3 linked regions of the Kluyveromyces lactis genome follow. The protein of the gene in region 2 purifies or fractionates together with the protein of the main gene of each other region. This does not show direct contact. Links are inferred from orthologs where the notes say so. Each region holds a gene or a part of one and is shown on either strand. Other genes may lie near its edges. The genes, in order: VID24, FYV10 and GID7.

What was found.
Region 1: the proteins of FYV10 (region 2) and VID24 purify together in Saccharomyces cerevisiae (affinity purification with mass spectrometry; 4 studies listed by BioGRID, with this or other methods). This does not show direct contact. The link is inferred for Kluyveromyces lactis from reciprocal best matches to the Saccharomyces cerevisiae genes FYV10 and VID24.
Region 3: the proteins of FYV10 (region 2) and GID7 purify together in Saccharomyces cerevisiae (affinity purification with mass spectrometry; 3 studies listed by BioGRID). This does not show direct contact. The link is inferred for Kluyveromyces lactis from reciprocal best matches to the Saccharomyces cerevisiae genes FYV10 and GID7.

What each region holds. Positions count from the first base shown.
Region 1 is NC_006038.1:833,561-835,944, reverse strand, and holds VID24 (glucose-induced degradation complex subunit VID24), read right to left. Parts: upstream 1,532-2,384; coding exon 530-1,531; downstream 1-529. UniProt on the Saccharomyces cerevisiae protein: Substrate-recognition component of the GID E3 ligase complex recruiting N termini and catalyzing ubiquitination of proteins targeted for degradation.
Region 2 is NC_006041.1:764,493-767,514, reverse strand, and holds FYV10 (glucose-induced degradation complex subunit FYV10), read left to right. Parts: upstream 1-1,110; coding exon 1,111-2,517; downstream 2,518-3,022. Other genes in the region: AVT7 (Avt7p), read left to right, coding at 1-637; BMT5 (25S rRNA (uracil2634-N3)-methyltransferase), read right to left, coding at 2,542-3,022. UniProt on the Saccharomyces cerevisiae protein: Component of the GID E3 ligase complex recruiting N termini and catalyzing ubiquitination of proteins targeted for degradation.
Region 3 is NC_006039.1:88,461-92,229, reverse strand, and holds GID7 (glucose-induced degradation complex subunit GID7), read right to left. Parts: upstream 2,253-3,769; coding exon 99-2,252; downstream 1-98. Other genes in the region: ATG22 (Atg22p), read left to right, coding at 1-106; KLLA0_C01155g (uncharacterized protein), read right to left, coding at 2,701-3,769.

The sequences.
Region 1 (2,384 bases), on a different chromosome or scaffold from region 2:
CAAGTTTAAGGTGAATAAAGACTGTGATGAGTAAGCAGCACGTGACATGGTTCTTTGCAATGGTTCACAAATCCCGATATGAACTGAAAGTAAAACATTTGTGCAAGAAACCAGCTCGTATGGCGCAGTGGTAGCGCAGCAGATTGCAAATCTGTTGGTCCTTAGTTCGATCCTGAGTGCGAGCTGTTATTTTTTTGCCCCTTCTTCATCCTCATCGAGGGCCTCTTTTTTTTTTTTCATGACGTTCGGTTTCTAGGAGAAACAAATCGAGCAGTAAATTGTAACGATGTATATCCCATTATTTATATGACATTAGAGACGTGATTAGGTAGAAATGAAAAGTGAAAGCGTAAATTGGTATTAGAATATTAACTGAATTAATGTAATGTGGTGTAGAAGTAAACTTGAACTGAAATTTGAAGTAAATGAGTGGAGCAAGGAACTTGGTAAATTAGAAGAGACAGAAAAAAAGAATGAAAATAAAACACCCCATGAAAGATGTGGTTTTATTTATTTTAATGTCATTTAATTATGCAAATTCGAATGAACAATCTCCGATTGATGGTTCTTGTAAAGGTTGCAATTCTAACTGTTGAAATCTTTCAGCATGTTCATGGTAGTAGAACCCCAGAATGTTACCAAGTAATTGATCGTGTACTATGTAGTAGTAGCCGTCGTAAGATGCACCATCTATTGATTCCAAATCGGCATCAGGCACCAGGAATTTCTCATTCCACCTCATGTAAAGGAACCTTTGATTCAAGTAATCGGTATGTGAGTAAGTACCATCGATGATAGATTGTAGAATATTCTTAGAAGGATACTTTGGATCGTTTTGCATGCAAAGTTCTTTGAAAGATGGGAAATTCAACCAATGCTCCAAATCAGTCTGGTCCGAGGCCTTATAGGACGCATAATCTATTGGGATATCTTTGGATAGAAACCCTAGAGAATCCGTTACGGTGATGGATTCGAAGAAAGTGGTGATCTCGGGATTTTGTACCGTGAGACCCTTTATAGAGAGGAATCCAGTCAAATGAGGCGAGCAACAGTTGGATTCGTTATCATTTGGTAAAGAAACAGATTGGATAGTGATCATGACTTGGAACTTCTTGTATCCCGAGAGTTGGTACCCAACAAACCGTTTTCTAGCCCCTAGCCAATGAGTTCTTTCGTGGTTCTTGGGAGTCTGAGGTCTCGATCTAGGAGGCGAGTTCAAAGATGGTGAGCATGAGTCCTGGATATCGTAATCCTCCGAATCTTGAAAGTTTTCATGCGAACGCCGTATCGAATTGATAGAATCGTGAGACCCAGTTCTGTGCAGCGAAGTGTTCCTGAAATATGGGTTTCTATGGAAAAAAGGAGTCAAAGGCGCAGGGAATGCTATAGGTGATTGCTGTTTTTGCTGTTGCTGTTGCTGTTGCTGTTGTTCCTGGGTCTGACCCTGACCCTTATATGGAGACGAGCTACTCGCCTTGGCGAGTTGCGTCTCCAACCCAGAGCTATGCGAACGTGTATCTTCGTTGATCATCTGTAAAATGTATGAATGTATCTTGCCTTACAACTTGTAAGTTGTAACTAGTTTTCTAAAGCAAGTAACTAACTCACTTGACAAAGGCAATCTGCGATGAAGCAGCGAACAGATTAATACGTCCAACAATAACCACTCGGTATATATACATATATATAGTAATAATAATAATAATAACTATCTCAATCAAGAAGGTAATATAAAAAGCATCACCAGGCCACCTTTAAAAAGCGAAGACCAGATCGACATCGATAAAGAAATAAGAAAAAGAGATAAAAGGAAAAGAAATAAAACACGGCAAAGAAACCGACAATGAAACACGCGGAAGAGGAAGATTTCCAGTTCCAACCATGACTCTATCCTATCAACTGGACTGGGAAAAACCAATGAACAAGGCAGAGACAGAAGTAAAATGGCTGCATAGGTGAAAGGAGTGACACATAATGGAAAAAAGTAAAAAGAGAGTAAATGTGTTCAGGAGTGAATTATGATCGAGGTGCGAGTCTGGTGTTGAAGGAAAAGAAACGGGGGGAAATATCGAAGAGACTGTGCACCGGTTTCTGGGCAAAATACCCGGAAAAACCTTTCGTTTTGGATTTTCTTTTTTTCCGGCACCAAGTTGGAACAGAGAGGTACCCAACGAAATGGCGGAGGAAGAATCAAAGAAGGACCAAAGTTCACAAAAAGAAATACGAGAGAATGTTGCTACAGGGGAAAGGAACATTCACAGACATAGCCCGATCCGGTTTGTTCCGAGGTGCGGGTAACAACTTAGCGCAGCTAACTCTTTCTTTCTCTACGCTCGGTGTATGCTGTCAAAAAAGTGTGGCTCTTCTAGTCACGTGATTACTGT
Region 2 (3,022 bases):
CATACTAAACTATGATGCTGATAAGCTCTCTGTCAGATTTGCTAGGTTCAATCTTGGCCTGATGGTTGTTTTGTCATTTCCCTTGTTGTTCCATCCTTGCCGTATATCGGCGAACAATATGGTCCATTGGTTACAATTGAACTATGGAACAAAGTCTGAAATAGATGAAACGATAGGGCCTATTACCCTGGAAATTGAGGATGATACTGATAGAGAATACCTCGAACAAGAGCTAGGCTCCTCCCATGACACTTCATTTGTCCACACGTACCAATCACTACCGAGGGCAACCGACGATGATAATGATGATCAGGTTGATGAACGCACTGAAGCAGTCCCATTCCCTGATTCCAGATTTTTGACTGTCACTTTCTTCTTACTTGCTGTACTATACGTTCTAGCGCTAAACGTTGAGTCATTCGCTTTAGTTCTTGCACTTGTTGGTGCAACTGGTTCTACAGCCATTTCATTCACGTTGCCAGGATTATTTGGGTGGAAGTTAATTGGTACTGAATCTTTGATGAACGGTGAGAGAATCGGAGGATGGGATAAAGCTCACAGATATGGAAGTCTGGCATTAGTCTGGTACGGTCTTATTATTATGGTAAGTTGTGTGTATATCACACTTTTTGTATGACCAGTTCAGCATCTCGCAGTTAAATCATTCAATGGTTCCAATCATTCTTTCTTGGCTAGATTATGAGCAAGGAGCTTTCTAAATAAAATTATTAAAATGTAATATATTCTGTCCTCGTCTGTTTGATGCTTTCTGGGTCTTAAACTTTAGGCGCAACACTTAGCCATTGGTATTTATCTTTTCACTAACAGTGTATAAACAAACGTCTGTAATGTTTCGCCTGATATTCCTACCCTCCAGTTGGTACTGCATCAACTCGACTTTAGCAATTTTTTTTTTCCAGCGTACCGGTTGATGTATTTCATTCATGGTAACTATATCTTTGTATTTCTGCATCAAATTGCATAAGAAAATTGAAAGGGGTTTTCACAATATACCTTAATCTTTAGGGATGAACCAAATAACTGACAAACTGGATCAATCAGTGTAATACTGGTGACGGTAAATCTACCAAAAAGCCTTTAGATGTCATTATGACTTCGTTAAACGAACCTAATGTCGATTTTCACCTAAAATTAAACCAGCAGCAGTTTAACATTCCTTCCGAATTGTTAAAGCGAAACTGGGATAAATTCAACAACCTATATACAAGCTATTCAGTAGAGCTACAGGGACAATTCGCTACTTTGAACACTTTACTTGAAGATCCAAATAAGGATGAGCAATCAATAGAAAAATTGAATGATATAATCAACACAGTGAACATTTTGCAGAAGAGACTATCGCAACTACATGATAATGAGTTAACAATTTTAGAAAGGATTGAGAAGAGAGTAGAATACTTCAAGCAGTTTGAAAGATTCAAATATGATTCTAACACTGACAAGCTTCTAAAATGGTACAGGTCATACACGGATTTGTTAATTGCCGATTATTTGGTAAGGCATGGTTCGAATTCTATAGATCATAAAAACAAGATTGCATCAAACTCTGGCATAGAGTTTATAAAGACTAGGGGATTAGAGGATTTGATTGATTACGAAGTTCTCATAGAAGCTAATCAGATATCTATGGAACTTATAGAAAATAAAAACCTTCGTCCTCTATTAGAGTGGATTGAAAATAACTCTGCGCACTTGACAGAAAAAGGTTCGCATTTACAGTTCCAAGCGTTATTGCAGGAGTACATTGAATTAGTACGATGTTCCGATTATAAAGCAGCAATCAGGTGCTTCCAAACACACCTTGCCCATTTCGCAAATATATATCCCAAAGAACTAAAACTGGCAGCGGGTATTCTTGCTTTCTTCAAAAGCTGCCTCAACAATGGTCGTGACGACGAAGTAACAAACGAACAAAAGTTGTTTCATGCCTATTTTAGAAAACAAATGTATCGACCACATCCGTTGTCATCAATTTCTTCTAGTAACGTTGTTCACAATGCTGAATTATGTCGATATGGTCCATTATTGGACCACGAGAGATGGGAAAGTTTGAATAAAATGTTCCTACATGAATTTTACTCACTCTACAAAATATCTTACCACGATCCACTATTAATATATATATCCTTAGGAATCTCTTCGTTAAAAACAAAGGATTGTGGTCACACCATTTCCGCGCAACTAATCCCTCATGAAAATCCGGAAGTAAATGAATACATTAAATCTAACGTTGTCAATACAGATTGTCCCGTATGCAATCATGACATATTCCCTCTATCTGAAAACTTACCATTTGCCCATCATATCCAATCGAGTTTATTTGAAAATCCAGTAATGTTGCCAAATGGCAATATTTACGACTCTGAAAAGCTAATATCATTATCTCGAAAACTAAACAAAATGGGGTACACTAAACTTAAAGAAAACCAAGTGATGGACCCTATTGATAAATCAATATATGCTACAACAGACTTTATCAAAATGTATCCTACTTAGATATAATAGAGAATATGTATTTTCTTATTCATCATCGCTGTCGTCTTTCAAAGGTTTTTTGGAATGTTTACGTTTATTGAACATTTCGAAAACGTACATTCTGGCATCTCTTTCCTCAGCTGGTTTGGTAGTATCCATTTCACTATTGGTACGCTTGTGATGATACCCTGGAAACTTGGACCAGTCGAATTTCCCTGATCTATCCACTTTCCAACCGTTATCTTTCGCTAGTATTTTTATTTGCCATGAATCGTATGGTTCGCCACTAAATAGAGAAAGAACCACTTTTCCATAACCTTCATCATCAACTCGAGTTTCATTATTTAGTGAGTATCCACCCATAGAAATGCTTGAGTTTAACATAATCTGGCTACTGTTTACGAGTCTGAACAGCTGCTTACAACTATCAAAGTATTTGTACACCAATTGTTGATGTTCGTGAATATTTCTGCCTTGATCTTTTATTCCACGACCTGTATGTGGAAAATTGAATAAGATGAAATCC
Region 3 (3,769 bases), on a different chromosome or scaffold from region 2:
TGCATTTTACTTGTTATTCCTTTTTTTGGTGGTTTCACTACCAGTCTTCCACGGTTTGGACGTGGAAAGAGGAAAAAGAGAAGCTAGACAATTGTCTACTATGTAGCAGATACCCTCCATACTTTAACTAGACCATCATCACCGCCGGATGCAAACATTGTTTGATCTTGAGGATTCCATGCAACAATGTTACATATCTTTGATTGTGAACTTGTCGAATTTTCCGAATGGGCAGGTATTACACCAATGATATTACCATAGAACCTATCCCACAAATAAATCTTTCCATCCTCGGAACCACTTGCAATAAAATTTGAATAATAACCGAAACATGAACGTATTATGAAATTTGATTGGATTTGACCGATGTACCTTTGTATTAAAATATCTCTTTGATAGTCCCAAAGTTGTAGCTCTTGGTTTTGAATCGAGACTAGTAATAATGATGATAGTGATGGATCTGGAGAACATTGAGAAGTGTCTGGGAACTGCATTCCAGTCATTCTTTTACCGATCAATAATCGTCTCTTTCTGGGAGAAACGAACGTTGCATTCTCTTTAATGCAGTATTTCAACGTTGATATGTCAAACACATCAATGTACTTCTCATTATTCATCACAATCAAGTCATTATCATCAGATGAAATCTTGATATCATGAACATGAGGGAAGGACGACTTTAAATCTTCTCCCATAGTCATCGAAATTCTAGCGAAAATGGTAGCCGTTTTCATGTCATAAATTATTACATCAGAATCCGGAGAACCTAATACGATGAAGTCTTTCAATTCGGGATCATGGAACCAATCTCCACACCATAACCTCATAGTTTCAGCTGATGCTGGTGTATTATTAGATGAAATGGCAGATGAATCTGAAGTCGTGGGGAATGTAACAAATACGGATGCTACAGGTTTAAGCTGATCATATTCGCATAAATAGCCATCATATGTAGGGGGGGATAGCTGGTTTAGGTCATATATTTTTGCAGCGGAGTTGATTGAACATGCGATCAATTTCGTGTTGTCAGGGGAAAATTTAAGATATAAAACAGACTGACGAGTTTCACAACATATAGCATATATTTCGAAGTTATTTTTTACATCATAGATGATGATTTTCCTTTCGAATTTCTTTGAGGGGCTTGCACTGGCCAAAAATCTCCCATCTGACGAGAATTGTAAGAACCAGATTTCGTCATTGTTGCGATTCAATGTTTTGATGTTATCAAATTGAAACTGAGTTGATTTTGTAACATTATCCTGTAACAAATTATAGGTACTTGAAGCACTTCTTTTAGTACCAGTTGATGAATCCTCAATATGAAAGCTTAACAAATCTCTTGAACGTTGGTATTGAATTGCTTGTTTCAATAGTTGCATTAATCTACCACGAGGAACTAAATCATTAGGATTAATAAAGTGAGCGATGTGTTCAAATGTGGCCTCTCTGGTAACGAAAGGTGCAGCATTGGAGTTTTGACCACATACAATCAAGGTAGAAAGCTGCGATAATAAGTGTTCAGGTTGGAAAGAGGAAAAAGAGTTGGAATACATGACATCATTTCCTGTTTGCCACTGTATTTCTGAGTCATATTTCATTGTTTGCAGTGTTAGCAACGTATCCCAAATCGAGATCGTAGGTCTAATGACAAGCCTTAATAATTCCAAGGCCATTCGTCTATCTGACATCAAAATCTCAGAGAAAGCCAAAGTTTGAATTGCAACTAGCATTTCCACGCATATAGTTAACTTAACTATATCAACGTCCTTGAATTCGGACAGACGTTTCATCACGAAACCTAGTTTCTCATATTCAGCGAGAAAGTGGTCAATTATTGTGGTTGAAATGTTGCGTTTTGTTTGGGGTAATTCGACATGTGATAAGTCACCTGATAGTTCAAGGGACTCGAGAAATATGGGTAGCTGAAGCAATAGATCCAACGTACAGTGGTAAAACCTACCCTCTTTTATAGCAGAAAACAATGACTTCACATGAGTTGATTCGACCAATATCCCACCGCTCTCCTTTTGTAAGGTAATTGCAGTTTCTTCATATCCGATTTGTTTTAAAGCATCAATCAACAACTTTGTTAACTGCACTCGATCGAAAGGTTGATCTGATCCGTCAATGTCTAGATGTGACAAAGGCTTTTTGGTATATTTAGGAATGAACGAGTCATGGCTAGTAGGGACAGTGCTGACAGAAGCATTGCTCTGTGAAACGTCTGATCCTGCGGTTTGAACAGCCATAATTTTTAATTTCGACCAACCTATGAGTGATTTGTGATTAAAGAACCTGTTCTGTAAGCTTTGCTTGGTCAATGAGTTCTGTAAATGATTGTAGCAACTCTTTTATCTTCAACTATTCTTTCGTGAAGTAACCAGTGAGGGTTGGTTTAAATTTTATGAAATTGTCTTTTAAGGGATTTCTCGAAGAAGGGCAGTTGTAAATCAAAGGAAAAAAAAAGGTACGATACCAATAGATAAAGTAAGCTTACATAACAAAGTTATAAGAGAGTGAGTTGAATACATTAAACAGATTTCTGGCTACTGTAACTACATAAAAGTAAATGTGCGTTTGGTGCTCTGTAGCGAATGTATTGTTATTGTTTTTCATCCTTTAAAGTCATTCATAGACGTAACTGCATTATATGCGGAATTAAAACCAAATCAAAATGTTTAAAAAATGTCATTAAAATTAATAATTTGCATGCAAAGCACACAAAGCAGCGCCAACACCGGAACCATCCTTGGAGATACGTAGATGGACATCACGTTCACCCTCGGGGCCAATTGGAGAAAGTGCTAATGCATGTCTCATCATAGATCTGAATCCTGGATAGTGCTCAACGACACTACCGTCACAACCAACCTCTACTTGGCAGTGATAACTCTGGTTCAAAGCGTTGGTTTTGATCAAAATTGCAGCAATTGGCACTGCGGCTAAGAATGCAGCTCTCCTGGAAATAGCTCTTACCAATTTTTGGATCAAGACACGTTCTTCGAAGGTGGTCTCCAAGTCAGCAGCCTTTAAAAGAGCATCCCTTGTGTCCTGTAAGTCGTTCTCAACGGTATCAATTTCGATATGTGATAAAGTTTCTGTGGTTAAAATAAAGGGATTGTTCTTTAAAACAGATTCCTTCAAGTCGAATAACTCTTGTTTTTCAAGGTCTAGTAGTATGTTACGAAGTATTTCACCCAAATAAAGACCACTGACCCTTTTTTCAAACAAGTGGAACCCGGGATTGGTGGAGAACTGCTGATCAATCTTAATATCATAACTTGTAGTAGGCAAATGATTTAGTTCATTATCAAAAGAGCCCCATTCGGTATTGATGCACATATGGGTCTTCCCCTGAGACAGAAGTTCTTCTCTGCTAGCTGGATCCAATTTGTGAATATTTTCAAGCTTTTCCATGTAGCAGCCGTTCGTACCAGTACCAAAGATACAGCCAATTACTGGTTCGTTGATGGCTCTTGCCGCATCACTGGAAGCGTAACAACGAGCCAATAGGGTTCCAGTAGTGTCATTAGTCAATGCAACCACATGAACATTTGATAACCCAATATCGTTCAATTCTTGTTGGAACAGTTGAACAACGTCTTGCCCAACAGTATCACCGATCTTGAAACCCTTGGTCCATCTAATCAACTTACCACTGCTCAAGGAGGTTTGATCGACTGGATATGAAAAAGTGAAACCCATTTTCCATTTGTAATCTTGAATTACATCCTTATGATGTTTAGTCAAAAACTGATGCGTGATC